Struthio camelus: one gene and its partner. The protein of the gene in region 1 interacts with the protein of each later gene in a pairwise test. Links are inferred from orthologs where the notes say so. Each region holds a gene or a part of one and is shown in the gene's direction. Other genes may lie near its edges.

The links. The genes of interacting proteins can lie anywhere in the genome.
Region 2: the proteins of GPR37 (region 1) and ADRB2 interact in a protein complementation assay, tested with the Homo sapiens proteins (2 studies listed by BioGRID and IntAct, with this or other methods). The link is inferred for Struthio camelus from reciprocal best matches to the Homo sapiens genes GPR37 and ADRB2.

The regions. Positions count from the first base shown.
Region 1 is NC_090942.1:24,529,910-24,537,920, forward strand, and holds the start of GPR37 (prosaposin receptor GPR37), read left to right. Parts: upstream 1-5,007; 5' UTR 5,008-5,428; coding exon 5,429-6,187; intron 6,188-8,011.
Region 2 is NC_090954.1:7,879,323-7,887,358, reverse strand, and holds the start of ADRB2 (beta-2 adrenergic receptor), read left to right. Parts: upstream 1-5,036; 5' UTR 5,037-5,063; coding exon 5,064-6,240; intron 6,241-8,036. UniProt on the Homo sapiens protein: Beta-adrenergic receptors mediate the catecholamine-induced activation of adenylate cyclase through the action of G proteins. The beta-2-adrenergic receptor binds epinephrine with an approximately 30-fold greater affinity than it does norepinephrine.

The DNA.
Region 1 (8,011 bases):
GGCACCAGCTACCAATAAGAAAGTCTGCAAAGGTTACACAACACTTGTATTGCAATTCTATATTTCTTATTGACTGCAGGTTGAAAAACATGGATAAAGTTTTTTAAAAAGGAAAGATTTTATTAATTTTTCCTGATGTGAATTTTATAGCCAGGCAAAGGAGAAAAATACCTTCCCATCTCACCTCTAGTAGATTGTTAGGGGATTATTGTAGATTATTGGGGGCGCTTTTCTGTTTGTGCACAGAAATTCATGAACATGATTACTAGTAAAATGGATGATGCTAAACATGAGAGCCTAAAGTAAGTTGACTTGGTGTGGATGGACATAATTGACGTGGTTTTACTCTCACTGTCTTAATCTATGGTCTCTTAAGAATATTTGCTAATAATAGATACTCTTTTGCCCCAACTCCACTTTATACAAATGTAACTTACTCCCCAGGTAATGCACCTCTAGAAAAAGTATTGACTTTATCTTCTTCCCTCTCCAACTATTGAGGTTGTTAGGTATTCTACATATTCTTCTGCCTTTTGGATAAAATATAGGACAGCAAAGTGGTAATCAGTCACATTTTAGTTTTCCACGTAATGTGGATCGCTTGCCTTTTTATTACTAATAAAAACAGAAGGATTGTTGGTAATCATGTTTCAAAACAAGGACAACTTTAAAAACAAACCTACTTGGACTCTGTGATATGGGCAACTGATGCTGACCCTTTAGAACAGAATTCAGACTTTAGGAGAAGAGAAAGTTTAAAAAGAAAAATGTGAAGCCAGATAGGAATAGCAACATATACTCAGGAGCCATTGTAAGCTTTCTTAATGGACGTCAATAAATGCAGAAACACAACAGTAATTACAAGAAATTCCCAATATTACCATTAAACTTTGAATTCCTCTTCGAACTTCAACTTAAAACCTTTTCAACATTTGTTTATTATCACTGAGCCTGGTCCAGCCATATAAGCAACTGACATCAACAATAAAAATCCTTCGATGGTTTAGGGGATTTTGATCTCTTGGAAATAAAAATCCCAGTGATACTGCATCATAGGAAATAAGTTATCTCCGAACTCAAGATTTCTCTTACACAGTAATATACATCAAAACCCAGTGAGATATAAGGAGACAGTGTCAACTGATCAGTTTATCAAAAGCAGGGAAAAAAGTTGTTCTTTTGTTCTAAATGAGGAAGGACAGTGCAGTGCATGGGGACTGAACATGCCAGAGCTTAAAACTAAAGAACAAAAATTATTCTAGGAAATTTACTCTTTTTCTTCTTCATTGACCAACTGAACCCTGAGGAGAGCTAAGCAAGACAGTAATAATCCCTTCTCGCTGCAAAAGCCTAACATGTTCAGGCTAAGATTATCACTTACGCAAATAAGTATGGGAGATGTCAAAAAAAAAAAAAAACATGCTGTAAGCATTGAAAACTTTTGATTTCTTTACCATCGCTGAAATGTGAAAGAACAGAAAAAAGAATGAATGTATTTGAAAACCTTTCAAATTCCATAATTTTATATTTTTTTCATACAGAAACATTTATTATCTTTCCTATTATAGATCTTGGCTGCAAAAACATCTCCAAATTTCAGTTCCATCATCTAGCAGAGAATTTTTTTTAATGTGTTATAAATATAATCGTCTGGTTGTGGTTTGTGAGACTATTTCTAGGCTGATGCATGATTTGGTAGAAGGATTGTCAAAATATGTAGAACTCCTTCAAAAGAGGAGCACACTACAAAGTTGTGAAAGCCTGACTGAACTAAAAGAATTAGAATGTGACAGAGTAGGAAAGTCATCCTAAAGGCAGATCTTATCATAAGAAACAACTCACTGATATGAAAGACACTGGACATAAGTAAAAAAACTAACAATCCCCCAGAAATTACATGGACTGTACAATTTTTTAATGGAGTAGTTGAAACCAAAGAAACTGGGAAACCCACATCTTCAGACACTAACTTCTAGCATCTTACAAGGCAGCAACACTGACATTGTAAACAGGGGAATATAATAACAGTAAATTAATTGTTTTTAAAGCCAGCTAAAGAGGGTCTTTGCAGATTGACAGAACTAAGTAATTACGGTGAGGTGCAGAAGCAGCACGTCAATCCTAACCCTGCACAAATCTATGTCTCAATGAGATGAGAAACCCCTAAGGAATATCACCTCTTGCATGTACAAGGTTTTAGCAAGACAAAAGCCCAGAAGAGCACTTTGATCACAGCTATATAGATACCACAAGCTCCTCCATTCTAGGCAGGGTGATTTTATGGGAACAGCCTAGAAAATCTAAGTATTTGCATGTACTGCTCTTTGTAACAAACCAAACACTTAATGAAGTAAGATAAATGTGACAAATTTGTAGGCAGAGGACAATAACTTAGGAGCCCTTTTTTGTGTTCAGAAAACAAATTTCTGTATTACAAACCAGATGGAATGCTGACACTGAAAAAATGATGCACTGCTCGGTTCTTATCTCACCAGTAAAGGATCTGTGACGTAAACCAAATACTGCTTAACCTTACTCTTTGCGATCCATATTTCTTCCAGAAGTATGCAGAAGGGCAGTACCTTTGCTAACTCCCGTCTGCTCCTTCCATATAAAAGCCAGAAGAAATATTCCGCAGTATCCTTTAAAGAGCAAGCAGTGAATTTATCATATCTGTTTGCAATGCCCTTTGGGACTCTTCAGGAAGAAAGGCACAGTAAATGTAAGCTCATTATCATCATTAACTCCTTTTATGCACCAGCTGAGCTCAGAACAAGCAAATGGGAGAAAAAATATAAGAAAAAAAGGGTAAAATATACTAAGCATTATTTTATTTTCCTGCTGGTCATTTTTTCCTGTTCATAAATATCTTTATTAGACAAAACTTAACCATTTAACTCCACCAAATGATACTTATATTGCTAAGGATGAATAAGAATAAAATGGCCTAATTTATATTAAGGGACGTAGCAGTGCCTAATTTTTACACTTGTTTTCCTAAGCTTAGAAACATCTCAGACTTCCCACAGTCACACCTCACATGAACGTATGAGAGAATGGTTTCAGGAAAAGGAAGAACTTTTCAGTTTGTCCAGTGTCTTTTTGCATAACTATAGCACCTGCCCAGCGGCATGGCGCTACATCTGATTTGGATGAGACTTGACTCACTAATTTTAGCCATTAAAAAGTCAGACTTTTTATCCAAAATAGTTTTCTAGGCTCCTTCTAGGGTACAACAGTGAGAGAGAAGCATCTCCAGAGAGCAATTTATACCACATACCTTGGACATTAATATGGAATTAATGGTCTTCAGAAGGCACTTTGCTCTCTCCATTGATAATAAAACACAGTGAGTATCTTTATGTAAAGGCCTAACTTCCTGGCAGTTAGGTGAGTTTGTGAAGCTGTGCTTGTATAAATAAATAATAATTAACAATTCATATGGAAGGGTCCTTTTGTCACTGCAGCTTGAGTCAACCCCATTGAAATCAATGGTAGTAGTCTTGTGTCTTTTACTCTATCTGATAGATGTGGCCCTATGTGTGTGTGTGATGTATGTTCTACTGCTGTAGACTTACATGGTTTTCTCTGTTGACTATTAATACAGAAAAGACAGGGCCCTAACCTGCCGGTACTGGCTACATGCACAACTGTCAAGACTTTAAAGATTGGCCTCAAGGAAGAAGTTCACAGGACTAGATCAGATCCATGGTCCTGAATCCAGTCCGTGAAACAAGGAGCTCTCATCACCTTGACTAACGTTCTGGTCTTTAAACCAAATGGGTTAAGAGAGTTTGAGAGAGGAAAAAAAAAATGAATGGCTCTCAAACAGCTTTATGGGATACAGTTAAAACTGTTAGAAACGTGTTGGAAATAAGCTACAAAAAAAAAACCTCTTAAAATGGAAATGAGAATGATGGAGTGCCCCACAATTTAAGGCTACTTACAGTGAAATATTTACTCCATCCAGTTTTGGTCAACTAAGAAGTCACTGGAATGAAAAATATGAGAAACAAGAGGAGCAAGCTGGAAAAGCCTTCTGACTGTACAAAGACCAGAAATAAAAGCATACAAAAACGTTCAAAACCGGAAAGAAAGGTAAGCCTGCCTCCTCAAGCACTGAAAATACCGGGAGGTGCTCCGGGCACTCGTGAGCCGCAGGGGTGAAGTCGTGGACGCCATTCCTTCGGCGGCACCGTGCCGTTTCTCCTTCCACCTGAGGATTTGCCTCCCTTCACCCGCTGCCCCTCGACGGTGACAGGACAGAGGAATCGGTCCCTCTGCTCCTCCAGCCAGGGGAGCCGGGGGGCTGCCAGGCCGTTGCCTCGCCGCCGCCGCCGCCGCCGCCGCCGCCGCCGCCGGGCGGGCGGGCGGGCAGCGGACCGGGAGGGCGGGCGGGCGGACCCCGCGCCGCCGCCGCCGCCGCCCGGCGGGGAGGGCAGCGCTGGCCCCGCGGCGCCGCCGGGCGGCGCGTGCGCACTGCGGGCCGCCGCGCTCGCTGCCCGCCGCCCCTGCGCGCCCGGGAGCCGCGGCGGAGCCGAGCCGAGCCGAGCCGAGCGGGGCGCAGCGCGGCCAGAGCCGGCGGGCAGCCGTGCCTGCCGGGCGAGCAGCGCAGCCGCCGCTCTCCCGCTGCTCTGCCTGCCGGGCGGCTTTTGCCGTTGCTTCTGGCTCTCGCTGCCGGCCGCCTGGCTCGCAGAGGCGGAGGCAGCCGAGCAGCACGTTACCGGGGCGGGGAGCCCCGGCCGCTCTCGCCGGCATCGCCAGAACCGCGACCAGCAACTTTGCGGCGCCGGTCGTGCGCCCCCACCTCCGCCTCAGTGCAGGCGCTTACGCAGCGCCGTTATTAAACCCGGCGAGAGTTTTGCAAAGCTCTTAAACACCCTAAGCCGCGTGTAGCAACCGGTTTTCTCCGAGGTTGCCGGAGAAGAGGAATTAGTGCTTGCAGTTACCCGGAGAGGGGAGGCGTTTTCCACAAGGGACCTTTCCTTACCAATAAAGCCACCAACTACAGGCAGCGGCGGGAGGATGTAAATGGGCAGCACAAGACCCGGTGCAACTGTTAGCAAGAAGGCAACGATCCCCGGGAAAGGGCGGAGCGCCGGAGGGGGGTCCTCCCGGCGCGGCACTTGCTACATTAACTCGGAGCGGCGGAGACGGTGACACAACTTTCCCGGGTTTGCCCCGGGAGGCTGCGAGAAGAGCCTCCCTCCTCCTCCTCCTCCTCTCGCCGCGCCCCGAGTGCCGGCCGCCCCCCGCGGCGCATCCCCCGGCGGCAGCAGGAGCCGCGCTCCCGAGCGAGAGGCACCGGCACCCCGGGCGGGCCGGGCGGCCCGCTCTGCCGGGCGGACATGGCACCTACCCCGAGCCCCGCCGAGCGGGGCGGCCGCTGCCTCTAAAGGGGTCCGGGGAGCCCCGCCGCCTCACAGCCATGCGGCCCCGCGGCGCTGCCCTCGCCCTGCTCTGCCAGCTGCTGGGGGCTTGGGCTGCCGGCGCCCTGGCCCCCGGGGCGGCCGGCGGGCTGCAGTCGCGCACCGAGCGCTCGCCGCCGGCCCCGACCGCGACCGCGACCCTCCTCGCCCCGGCGCCGCGGCGGGCGGCGGCCGCGGCTCTCCCCGGGCGCGGGGCCCTTCCCGGCGCTGCCCCGCGGCGGGACGGCGGCGAGGGGCAGCGGGCAGCCGCGGGGCCGGGCGGCACCTGCGCTCCGCGCGGGGCGGCGGCGGCCGGGCGGCGCCGCGCGCGGAGCGCGCGTGGAGCCGGCGCGGCGGCGGGGAGGGGCGCGGCGGCGGCGGCGGCGGCGGCGGCGGCGGGCGGCCCGCGCTGGCTCCCCCTGAACGGCTCGGCCCGCGGCGGCGCCGAGGGCAGCGCCGGGGCCCGCGGCAACGGCACGGGGCGCCGCGGCCGCCTCCGCAACCCCTTCTACCCGCTGACCGAGGAGTCGTACGGCGCCTACGCCGTCATGTGCCTCTCCGTGGTGATCTTCGGCATCGGCATCATGGGCAACATGGCAGTGATGTGCATCGTCTGCCACAACTACTACATGCGGAGCATCTCCAACTCCCTGCTGGCCAACCTGGCCTTCTGGGACTTCCTCATCGTCTTCTTCTGCCTGCCGCTGGTCATCTTCCAGGAGCTCACCAAGAAGTGGCTCCTAGAAGACTTCTCCTGCAAAATCGTCCCGTACATCGAGGTAATTTGGGGGGGGGGGGGGGAGCTAGCGGGACTCGAGCCGTGCCGTGCCCCGGTGCCCGCCTGCTCCGCGCCGGCTCGGGGCAGCCCCGCCGACCCTCGCAAGGCCGGTATTGCTTCCTCTGGTTTTCCTAAGCGCTTTTGGAAGGGAGCGCTTCCCCTCCCCGCCCCCGCTCCCTCAAAAGACGCGAGGATGTTGCGGCCGGTGCAAGGACCGACAGCACCTGAATTTCCGTAACCTCAAACTAATCGCATGTAGCTCTTCCATTCATGCCAATTCTGCCAAACTTTTATTGCTTCTTGTAGTCCTGAAAGGCAAACAATCCTCTCAGAAGTAGATTTTAAGTTTGTGTTTTTCCTAAAGTGAACTGGTTCAGGAAAAGTGAAAGGAAGGGGTAACTGGGAATAAGTTGTAAAAAGGCGATTGTATCATCGATGTGATGTATGTGCTATTCATTTACACTTCGGCGTTCAAATCTCACATTTATTTATTTGATTTATCTTGGGGAAAAAAAAGAAAAAAGGAAGAAAAAATCCTGATGACGTTTAAATCGCAGCCTCTTGGCACTTGTTCAGAGGCTGTGTCAAAGAAGCGCTCAGCCAGCTGGCCGGAGTCCTGCCGGCAGCGTTCAGGTCGTTCGCTTTATTTATTTACTGGAACTGAATACTGAGGCTTGTTGGTAGGGTCGTAGCCCACGATTCTGGCAAGCTCTGCTATATGCCCAAAACCTTATGTTCAGCATTATTCTTTAACCTAAAGCTTAGAGAGGTGTTGATTTACTGGTCCTAAGAATGATGTATTAGGGAAGAAAGAAACAATTAATCTTGTTTTCAGTGCAGAGAAGAGCAGTTTCCACAGCACATTGATGTAGAGTAATACATAATTACCTACCAGCTGAATTTTTTAAGGAAATGTTTAGAAAGACATGTGAGGTGTAGCCACTAGAACAGTTGTGGTTACTTTTTTTATAAGTGATACATGCTATTACTGGTGGACAAAGGGTGGAGCTGTGCTACACCTACATGAATTTAAGTCCAGTAGTAAGTCACTTTCATGATTTGAGAAACACAGAGTGCACCTTATCAATTTATCAAGAAGAAAAGCACTTTATCAAGAAGAAAGAAATATGTAATCAATTGTGATACATATTTGTTGAGAATACTCATTGGCAGTAACTTTAGCTAGGAGCTCTCAAAATTTCTAAATTCAGTTCTGTGGCTACTTTGTTAACTAATAAAATGTGTAGTTACAGTTCCAATTAAAGTATAACCACTTCGATTAAAATGGTTAGTGTGGCTAAATTATTTTAGGACTTTTGTATGGTGACATTTCACGTTTTCTGAATCTCTTTTGGTGGATCTACATACAAAATAGCAACAATCCTTTGTAATGTTGGTTCTAATTAAAGGTCAGTAACTGAAAATGATTTGCACAGCCATATCTTTTTTTCCAAATTAGCTGCTTATGCTGTGCAGTTTGAAGTGCTGAGGAGTTTGTCACTTCATAAATTAAAGGAAAATGCCCAAAACTTCATATTTTAATGAAGATATTACTAATTTAAATGGATAAGAAACAGAGAGAATCTTCCAGAGTTACATAAACAGATGGCTTAATGTACAACTACATTTCATTTTAGTAGTACGAGTCTGTAATTATTTTAGCCCTACAGGAAAAGGGGATACCTTTAGGATTGCCCAGTACGCACATGCTCTGGAATTTACACTTTCATCACTGAATCATAAAAGTAGCTTGGGTGAAACATAGTTGCCAAAATTCAAAACTGTAATCCTGAAAACATTAATTCAGCTGCTGTCAACCCCCCTT
Region 2 (8,036 bases), on another chromosome or scaffold:
GGCTCCTCCTCATGCTTTAAAAAGCAGGAGAGGAAAAAGAATAAAGACTCACAAGGCCGCACTGTTTTGTTATCACAGCAAACCTGCTCTCTAGCTCCTGTCAAGCTGTTTTGTTTGAAGTGAGAGGGACTGAAAGCCACAAACGCATAGGAGAGGGTGTGAAGGCAGAGGTGACCCACAGAAAGTTTCCCCTGGCTGCTTTCCATTATTGAGATGCTCACCACAAACAGCTCTGCCACGGGTGTTGCTGTGGGGACACACTCGACAGCTCCACACAGCACTGACTAAGTGCGTGTTTATGGCCAAAGCAAGGCACGCTCAAACAAAAGCATTTGAAAACCAGGAAATGCAGGATGAGGGCCCTCAGAGCAGGCACTATCAAACTGTCTTAACTCTGCCCCTTGCTGTTGGATCAGGAGCATGCCAAGTCGGTCATCTATAGCGGGGTCTGGTATTAATCAGCAGCCACAAGAAGAGGAATGCTTCAATGTTATTTGCATACCGCTTTTGCTGATTTACAGCCCTGTCGGCAGTGACATACCATACAAACAATATTATCAGTTATTTGCAAGAAGAGAATTTTACAAATTCCTCTCTAGACAAACACTGTTGAGGGCTACCATTTCCAAGCCCTTGCATCTGGCCAGCTGCTTAATATCCGGGTGCCTCATGCCTTCCGGGTTGTGATAAGCATTTGGGGAAGCAGGGCTGAGGCCAGTGTCCCAGCTGGCCGCAGTCCTGAAGAAGGTTTTGCATGCCCAAAAGCCTGGCTGTTTTTTCCAATTATGTCAGTAGGGCTAATAAAAGTGATTACCTCTTCCTATCAATCCTGCCTTTCTCATTGATCCCACAGGCCATTCTTCAAATGTCACCCAGCAAGGAGGGAGCACACATCCAATTATGAAAGGAGAAAAGATTAGCGTGATGACAAAGCAGCGGGGTCAGTGGCAGCAATGTGCTGCATGAGACAAATGAGATGTGCCTTGTTTTGACACCCTCCAAGCCAGAGGACCAGAAGGAGGCATTCTGGAGTAAGCAGAGTCCTTGCACTTCAGGCAACCAATATAGGAAATGCAAACTTAACTCTTTTCCTAACCTTTCTTTGGAGATTTGGTATTACGTTTGTTTAAATAAGAAACCTCAAACATACTTCAAAGCTAATAACCACTCCAAAGCACAGATATGGGCATGAAAATCTCAAAAGCAATACAGTTGAGTTGTGGGTGATGAAATTTATTTTTATGTGGGGCCAAATCCTGCCTTTATTTTGAACCTGTGTTCACTAGTCCCATTTGATGTGGACCATGCAAAGCCAAGCGCAGAAATCAGCTTGTGCCAATGGTCTACCCTGACACACCTCATGTAAGTGAGCAAAGATTAGTCAAGCAAGTAAAGAGCTGCAGAACCTAGGAAGAAAAATCAGCCTTTCTCTACTTCCTTCACCACACCCTTAACCACTACAGAGGCTCAAGACTCTTTGAATAAAGCACAACAAAGGCACAATATTTAGATAGCAGCTGGGCTTGCTGATTTCTGCACCCTGGGCCACAGAGATTTCCAGAGTCTGGAAGCAGGTTCTGGAGAAGGATATAGGAATGCTACCAGGGAGCATGGGTTTCTCCATGTACCAGATGCCCTTGTTGAACCGCTTGTGCCAAAGCAGAGAGATCAGCTTTGACTGTCCCAGAGTTGGTGTTTCCTACTGAATTCTCAAACCTGCTTCTCCTCCTTTCAAAACAGTGCTTCGTGCAAGGATGAATATTTGCTTGTCTGTTAGGAAGCCAAATCTTTTTAAAACTCTTTGGTTTACTGTTTGAATATTCCCAGATTTTAGCATAATCCACAGAAAACAGCACACTCACCAGGTTATTAGCAGAAACTTATCATGATCACCTTCTGGAGTTTTCTGATCAGCTCTTAAGAAAGAAGATGGAAAAGTGGGTTGAATATAATGTATAGTTAACACAAGTGCTTTTCCTTCCCCATTCTGCTCTGCTCTCCCAATATTGCATCTGATTTGTAGCTCCACTTCCCCAGCAGTTACTTGCAATATTTCTACTGCAAGGTGAATGCTTCTGGCCACTGGGCAGAGGGGGTGTGGGGGTACCTATGTGCACAGGAGCCAGAGATACTGCACCAAGCAAGTGCTAAAGGAGCTTATATTTATGTAGGGATCAGATCCTTAGCTGGCATAAAGTTAGTGAAGACCAATGGAGAGCAAATGACTTATGTCAGGGGGTTGCAGTTGTACCTATTGATTCAGATGTATATAAAGTATAGCCCTGTTTAGCTCAACAGTGGTCAGTTGAAACTCCTCATTTAGCTAAGGGCATTATTGTTTCTTAAGGTCATTAATGTTTCCTAGTCTTCCACTCACCCAAATCCCCCTGGTTTCCAAAGGCTTGGCATGTTTGCAGTAGAAAGAGGTATCCTGCAGATCTCTTTTTCATGTGTCTTTTTGTTAAAAACTCCAAAGCTTGCAGATGCCAAAGTGGAATATGGAAGCAGTACTGGAAGCTCATACTTAGAAAGATCCTTGCCTAGAGAGAAATCTCATACCACTGAAACTGCCTTTCATCTTATTTCCTGGTGCTGTCACCTCATTTTCCCCTCTGTTTTAAACTACAAAACTTCCTCTGTGTACAACCTGCTCTTCTCTATAAATAGCCCTAGGCTTAGCTCACGCAGTCCATGCATGACATGGGACACCTAGTGGTTTGCAGGGCCAGACCAGACAAGGTGTCTGGCTCTTCTGCCATGTGCTGGCACGGGCAAGAGAAACAGCAACTGCAGGCAGCTCCCCTCTGCAAGCCGTGCCTTGCACTTAGCACTTTTGCATTTCCTTGTAGTGAGAAAGAAAAATGAGGCAGAATTCTGAAGCCCTGTCAAATTCTGATGGTTGATGTGTTTCAAATGAGATCCAAAATTATTCACCCTTTAATAGCTAAAGAAGGTTAGGCAGGAGTCCTCCACCATCAAGCCTGTTATTAATAAAGGCAATGTTTGCATTTCTGGATCCTGAAGTGGCAGTGGGGGACAGTCCTATGTGCACAAGCCTGGGGTGACTCGTAAACATCTGCTTCTGGAAGGCACAAAGACAATGCGGGGTACCTAAGGAGGCACTGAGATGCAGTTACTTTTGGTACAGCTGGTGGCCAGAAGGCACGTGGGTAAATTTGGGCAAAAGCAACTCTTTGTATTCTCCCTTTCTCTGACATGGGATAATTTTAATTACTGTGCAAATCACAGCCTTCAGGCTCCACTATCATCTCCAGCAGACCCCTGGGCACTGCAGGAAGCATTACGTATGTCTGCAAGGGGGCAGCACGAGGCCAGATGGTTTCTGCACAGGCAGAAATGAAACTCAAGTGGTGGAGTTATCTCCCTTTAGGTTAAAAGGGACTTTGCAGGATTCCTTAGTCCTTATTTAGCAAATTTGTTTGCTTTGGAGGGAAATACTTGTGACTGATAGTCTCCAGCATGTCTGGCGGTAGTGTGGCAGACTGCAGTGTGCAGCAGTTGTGTGGCCTTCCAGCCCCCGACCAGCATGCTTGGCCCTGTCAGGGGATGCGCTCCGTGTGCTCAACCACCACCACAATTTTAGGGGCTGGGCTGCACCTCGAGCACCCAGTACACAGTCCCACCAGCCAGCTTCCAGGTGCCTGCCCCAGCCATGGGCTGTGGAGTGGCCAGCTCCCCGCAGGAATGGTGCTGGGCTGGGGGCTGGGAGGGATGGAGACCGTGGGTGACACCCTGTCTCAAAGTGTTGCCTGTGAGGACAGGCGCTCCCCAGGGTCACCCAGCTCTCAGGAAAGTCCAAATCCCAGCACCCAACCAGACACAAAGTCTCTCTGAGAGCAGCAGCAGATATACTGTGGTGGGGAGTGAGTGGGGGATGGGGGCACATGGAACGTGGTGGGTTGAGGACACATGTGGGAAGGGGTTCAGGGACACCATAGGGCAAGGAGCACGTGTGGATCACAGGGACACTGCAGAGCAGGATTGTGCATGGGGTGCAGGGACAGCGCAGGGCAGGGAGCATGTGTGGGGCACGTGGACACCATGATGTGGGGCAGAGATGTGCGTGGGGTGTGGGAGTGTGGGGACACCGCAGGTCAGGGGCACGTGTGGAGCGTGAGAACAACGTAGGGCGGGGAGCATGCATGGGGCATATGGACACTGGAGGCCAGGGAGCATGCATGGAGTGGGGGGACATGTGTGGGGCAGGTGACACCATGGGATGGGGTGATGCGTGGGGCAGAGGGGCATGCTTAGGGTGGTAGTGTACATGGGGAGGGGGGTGTGAAAACCCTGTAAAGCGGGGAGTGCATGAGTTGTGCGGGCACCATGGAATGGGGGCGCATGCGTGGCGGGGGGACACCACAGGCTGGGGAGCCCTCGGTCATGGGGACACCATGAGGCAGGAATGTGCGTGGGGCACGGGGACACTTTGGGGCAGGGAGCGCTTGGTTGTGGGGACACCGCGGGTAGGGGATGTGCATGGGGCGTGGGGCCACTGCAGGGCGGGGAGTGTGCGTGGGAGTGCAGGGACACCTTGGGGCATGGCACTCAGTCGCGGGGCCACCACGGGGTGCAGATGCGCGTGGGGCGCCGAGCCACGGCGGGGCGGGGACGCGCGTGGGGCACGGGGGCACTGCGGGGCGGGGAGCGTGCGTGGGGCGCGGGGACACCGCCGAGGGGGGACGCGCGTGGGGCGCGGGGACACCGCCGGGGGGGGGGGGAAGAGGCGCGGCGGCCGCCGCCATTGGCTGTCGCTGTCCTGATGTCACGGCGGGGTGTTGCTATAAGCTCCGCGGCGCCTAACGGGCTGGGGGCAGTCGGGGCCGGGCGCGGCGCCGCCGCGGGACGGGACGGGACGGGCGAGAGCGGAGCGGAGCGGAGCGGAGCGGAGCGCGCCCAGCCGCGCAGCCCGGTGCCCCTGCCCGCGTCCAGCCCGCCCGCACCTGCCGCGCCGTATGCGCGGCGCCCGGCGCAGCGCCGCCGCGACGCAGCCCTAGGCGCGGGCGCCTCGCCGAGCCCCGCGGGCGGCGGCGCGGGGGGCCATGGGGGCGGTGGGCGCCGCGCTGCCCGGCGGCAACGCCAGCGCCAACCAGAGCGCCGCCGCCGACCCCACGCTGTCGCGGGACGTGTGGATGGTGGGCATGGGGATCCTCATGTCCGTGATCGTGCTGGCCATCGTCTTCGGCAACGTGCTGGTGATCACCGCCATCGCCCGGTTCCAGCGCCTGCAGACCGTCACTAACTACTTCATCACCTCGCTGGCCTGCGCCGACCTGGTGATGGGTCTGGCCGTGGTGCCCTTCGGGGCCAGCCACATCATCATGGAGATGTGGAATTTCGGGAACTTCTGGTGTGAGTTCTGGACTTCTCTGGATGTGCTCTGTGTCACAGCCAGCATCGAGACCCTCTGTGTCATCGCCGTGGACCGGTACTTCGCCATCACCTCTCCCTTCAAGTACCAGAGCCTGCTGACCAAGAGCAAGGCACGCGTGGTCATCCTGGTGGTGTGGGTAGTCTCTGCCCTCACCTCCTTCTTGCCCATCCAGATGCATTGGTACCGGGCAGAGCGTGAGGAAGCCATTCTGTGCTACAAGGAGGACACATGCTGCGACTTCTTCACCAACCAGGCTTACGCCATTGCCTCCTCCATCATCTCTTTCTACCTGCCACTCGTGGTCATGGTCTTCGTGTATGCCAGGGTCTTCCTGGTGGCCAAGAAGCAGCTGCAGAAGATAGACAAGAGCGAGGGGAGGTTTCACATCCAGAACAAGGAGCAGGAGCAGAACGGGCGAACTGGGCACCGCCGTTCCTCCAAGTTCTACTTGAAGGAGCACAAGGCCCTCAAGACCCTGGGCATCATCATGGGCACCTTCACACTGTGTTGGCTGCCCTTCTTTATCGTCAACATTGTGCACGTCATCCAGGACGACATCATACCCAAGTACGTGTACATTCTCTTGAACTGGCTGGGCTATGTCAATTCTGCCTTCAACCCTTTGATCTACTGCCGGAGCCCGGACTTCAGGTATGCCTTCCAGGAGCTCCTGTGCCTCCGCAGGTCTGCCCTGAAGATGTATGCCAATGGGTACTCCAACAGCAACGGCAGGAGTGACTACAATGAGGAGGAGAACAGCTATCCCCTGGCATCGGATAAAACCTGTGAGTTGCTCTGTGAAGAAGGCTCCTTCCCTAACCCAGAGGACTTTTTGCACTGCAAAGGTACTGTGCCTAGTGGGTAGCTTTGAGACGTGATGGGCTCTGGTGTGGCACACCTTGGTTACAAAAATGAGCCTTTCTCTCTCTCTCTCCCTCTCTGTCTCTAAGGAAAAACAACCCCCCCCCCAAGAAAAATAATGATCCACTTTTAAAATGTATCTAAAATCTGGTGGCTGCAAGAAATCTAAAACTCAGCAAACCTTGTGCGAACAGGTGGAAGGTTGCTCTGGGAATGGTCGGGCGGGCTAGTTGTTTGCAGAGTGTCAGAAGTACTGTAGCACATACTTGTGTAGAGGCGCAATCTTCATTCGTTGAGTGGGGAGGTTTTAAGGCTGTGCAGAAAGCTCAACCCAGGAGGAACTTCTTGACTGTGGTGGCTGTTGAACTACCTCATGGACTTAGTGTTAATAACCAGGCTGCTGGTGCAGGAAACCCTCTGCAGGGCGGACAGGAGCCCCTGCCTGTGGGGAGGCTCCTGCCGGCTGCGGGTGCCCTCTGCCCACCCCAGTGATTGCACTTCATGGCAAACCCCAGGTGATGTTGCCTACCTTAAAGTCTTCCCAGTTCCTTTGTCACAACCAAGCCTCCCAGCAGACTGGTGGCCCGTAGGACCCCTCCTCGGCCAGTTATGCAGCCTTGGGCAGTAGCCTCTGTTGTCCAGCCCAGGAAACTGTGCAGAGATGCCACCCTATGAACAAGCTCCTAAAAGGGATGCTAGGACCAGGGCTGCATGGTCTGAGCACGGCTCGGAAAGGCCATGTCAGATCTGCAGCTATTGCTCTCACTGGGACAGTTTAAACAACGCCCAGAAACAACGAATGCTTTTTGCCAAGTGCTGTAGGACGTTCATCTGAAATAAGAATAGAAATAAATGGACTATTTGCCCAGAATGTGAGACTGTGACGGTGGGACTCAGGAACATGGTACTGGAAAGTTGGGTGAAATGCTGCTAAAATCACGGACCATCCTTTTGTTCAAACTCTGGCCAAAGCTTCCTCCAACCTTTAAACTGTTGAATTCCTTTAACTTCAGGTCCCAAGTGACAGGGAACCCGAGGAGGCGGGAGGGGAGGGGATTTTTTATTTTGTTTCAAAGAGGACTGACACTCGGAGGGGCACAGCTCTAGCCCCGGTTTGTTTGTTTGTGAAGGGCTTTTTTTTCCCCCTCCTTGCGGCAGGCTTTGCATTTTGTTCCCGGGTTACAAAACTTGGCTGCGAGTTCCCCGGGCTGTCAGAGGGGAAGCTAATCCGCAGACACGGGCAGGCAGGTGCGGGCTGGACGAGCGGGGACGGCAAAGGGCGCCTGCACTGCTGCCCAGTTATTCTCAGAAAGTCCCTGGTTGGAGGAAACCGGCAGTCGGGCTGGGAAAATAAAAGTGTCCCCGTTGCCTTCCCCCTCAGCTGCTGTTTGAAAGGGTGAACGCAAGGGCTGGGAGGATGTAGAAGCGCTGTGTCTTTTCAGAAACGGGGAGATGCAGGGGAGAAATGGGCTCGCAGGAGCTGTCACCTGGCCGTGGGGCTGTGGTGCCCCGTGGAAGGATGCTTGGCATCACCTTCATGGGCTCTCGCCTCCTCCCCAGAGAATTCAAGCACCTGCCCTGCGCTGCCGTCGCTTTTCTGACACTGGCGACGCGCTGTGATGGGTCCCTGGTGCGTGGCGGTCAGTGGGTCCCTGGCAGAGCAGGAGTGCGGAGGGGGGAATGTGAAGGCACTGGGGCGACTGGCTGGCGTTGCAGGCGTCCCTGTGCCAAGACCCCGGCCGAGCCAAGCCCCCTCTGAGCCATGTCCTCGGACGCTGGT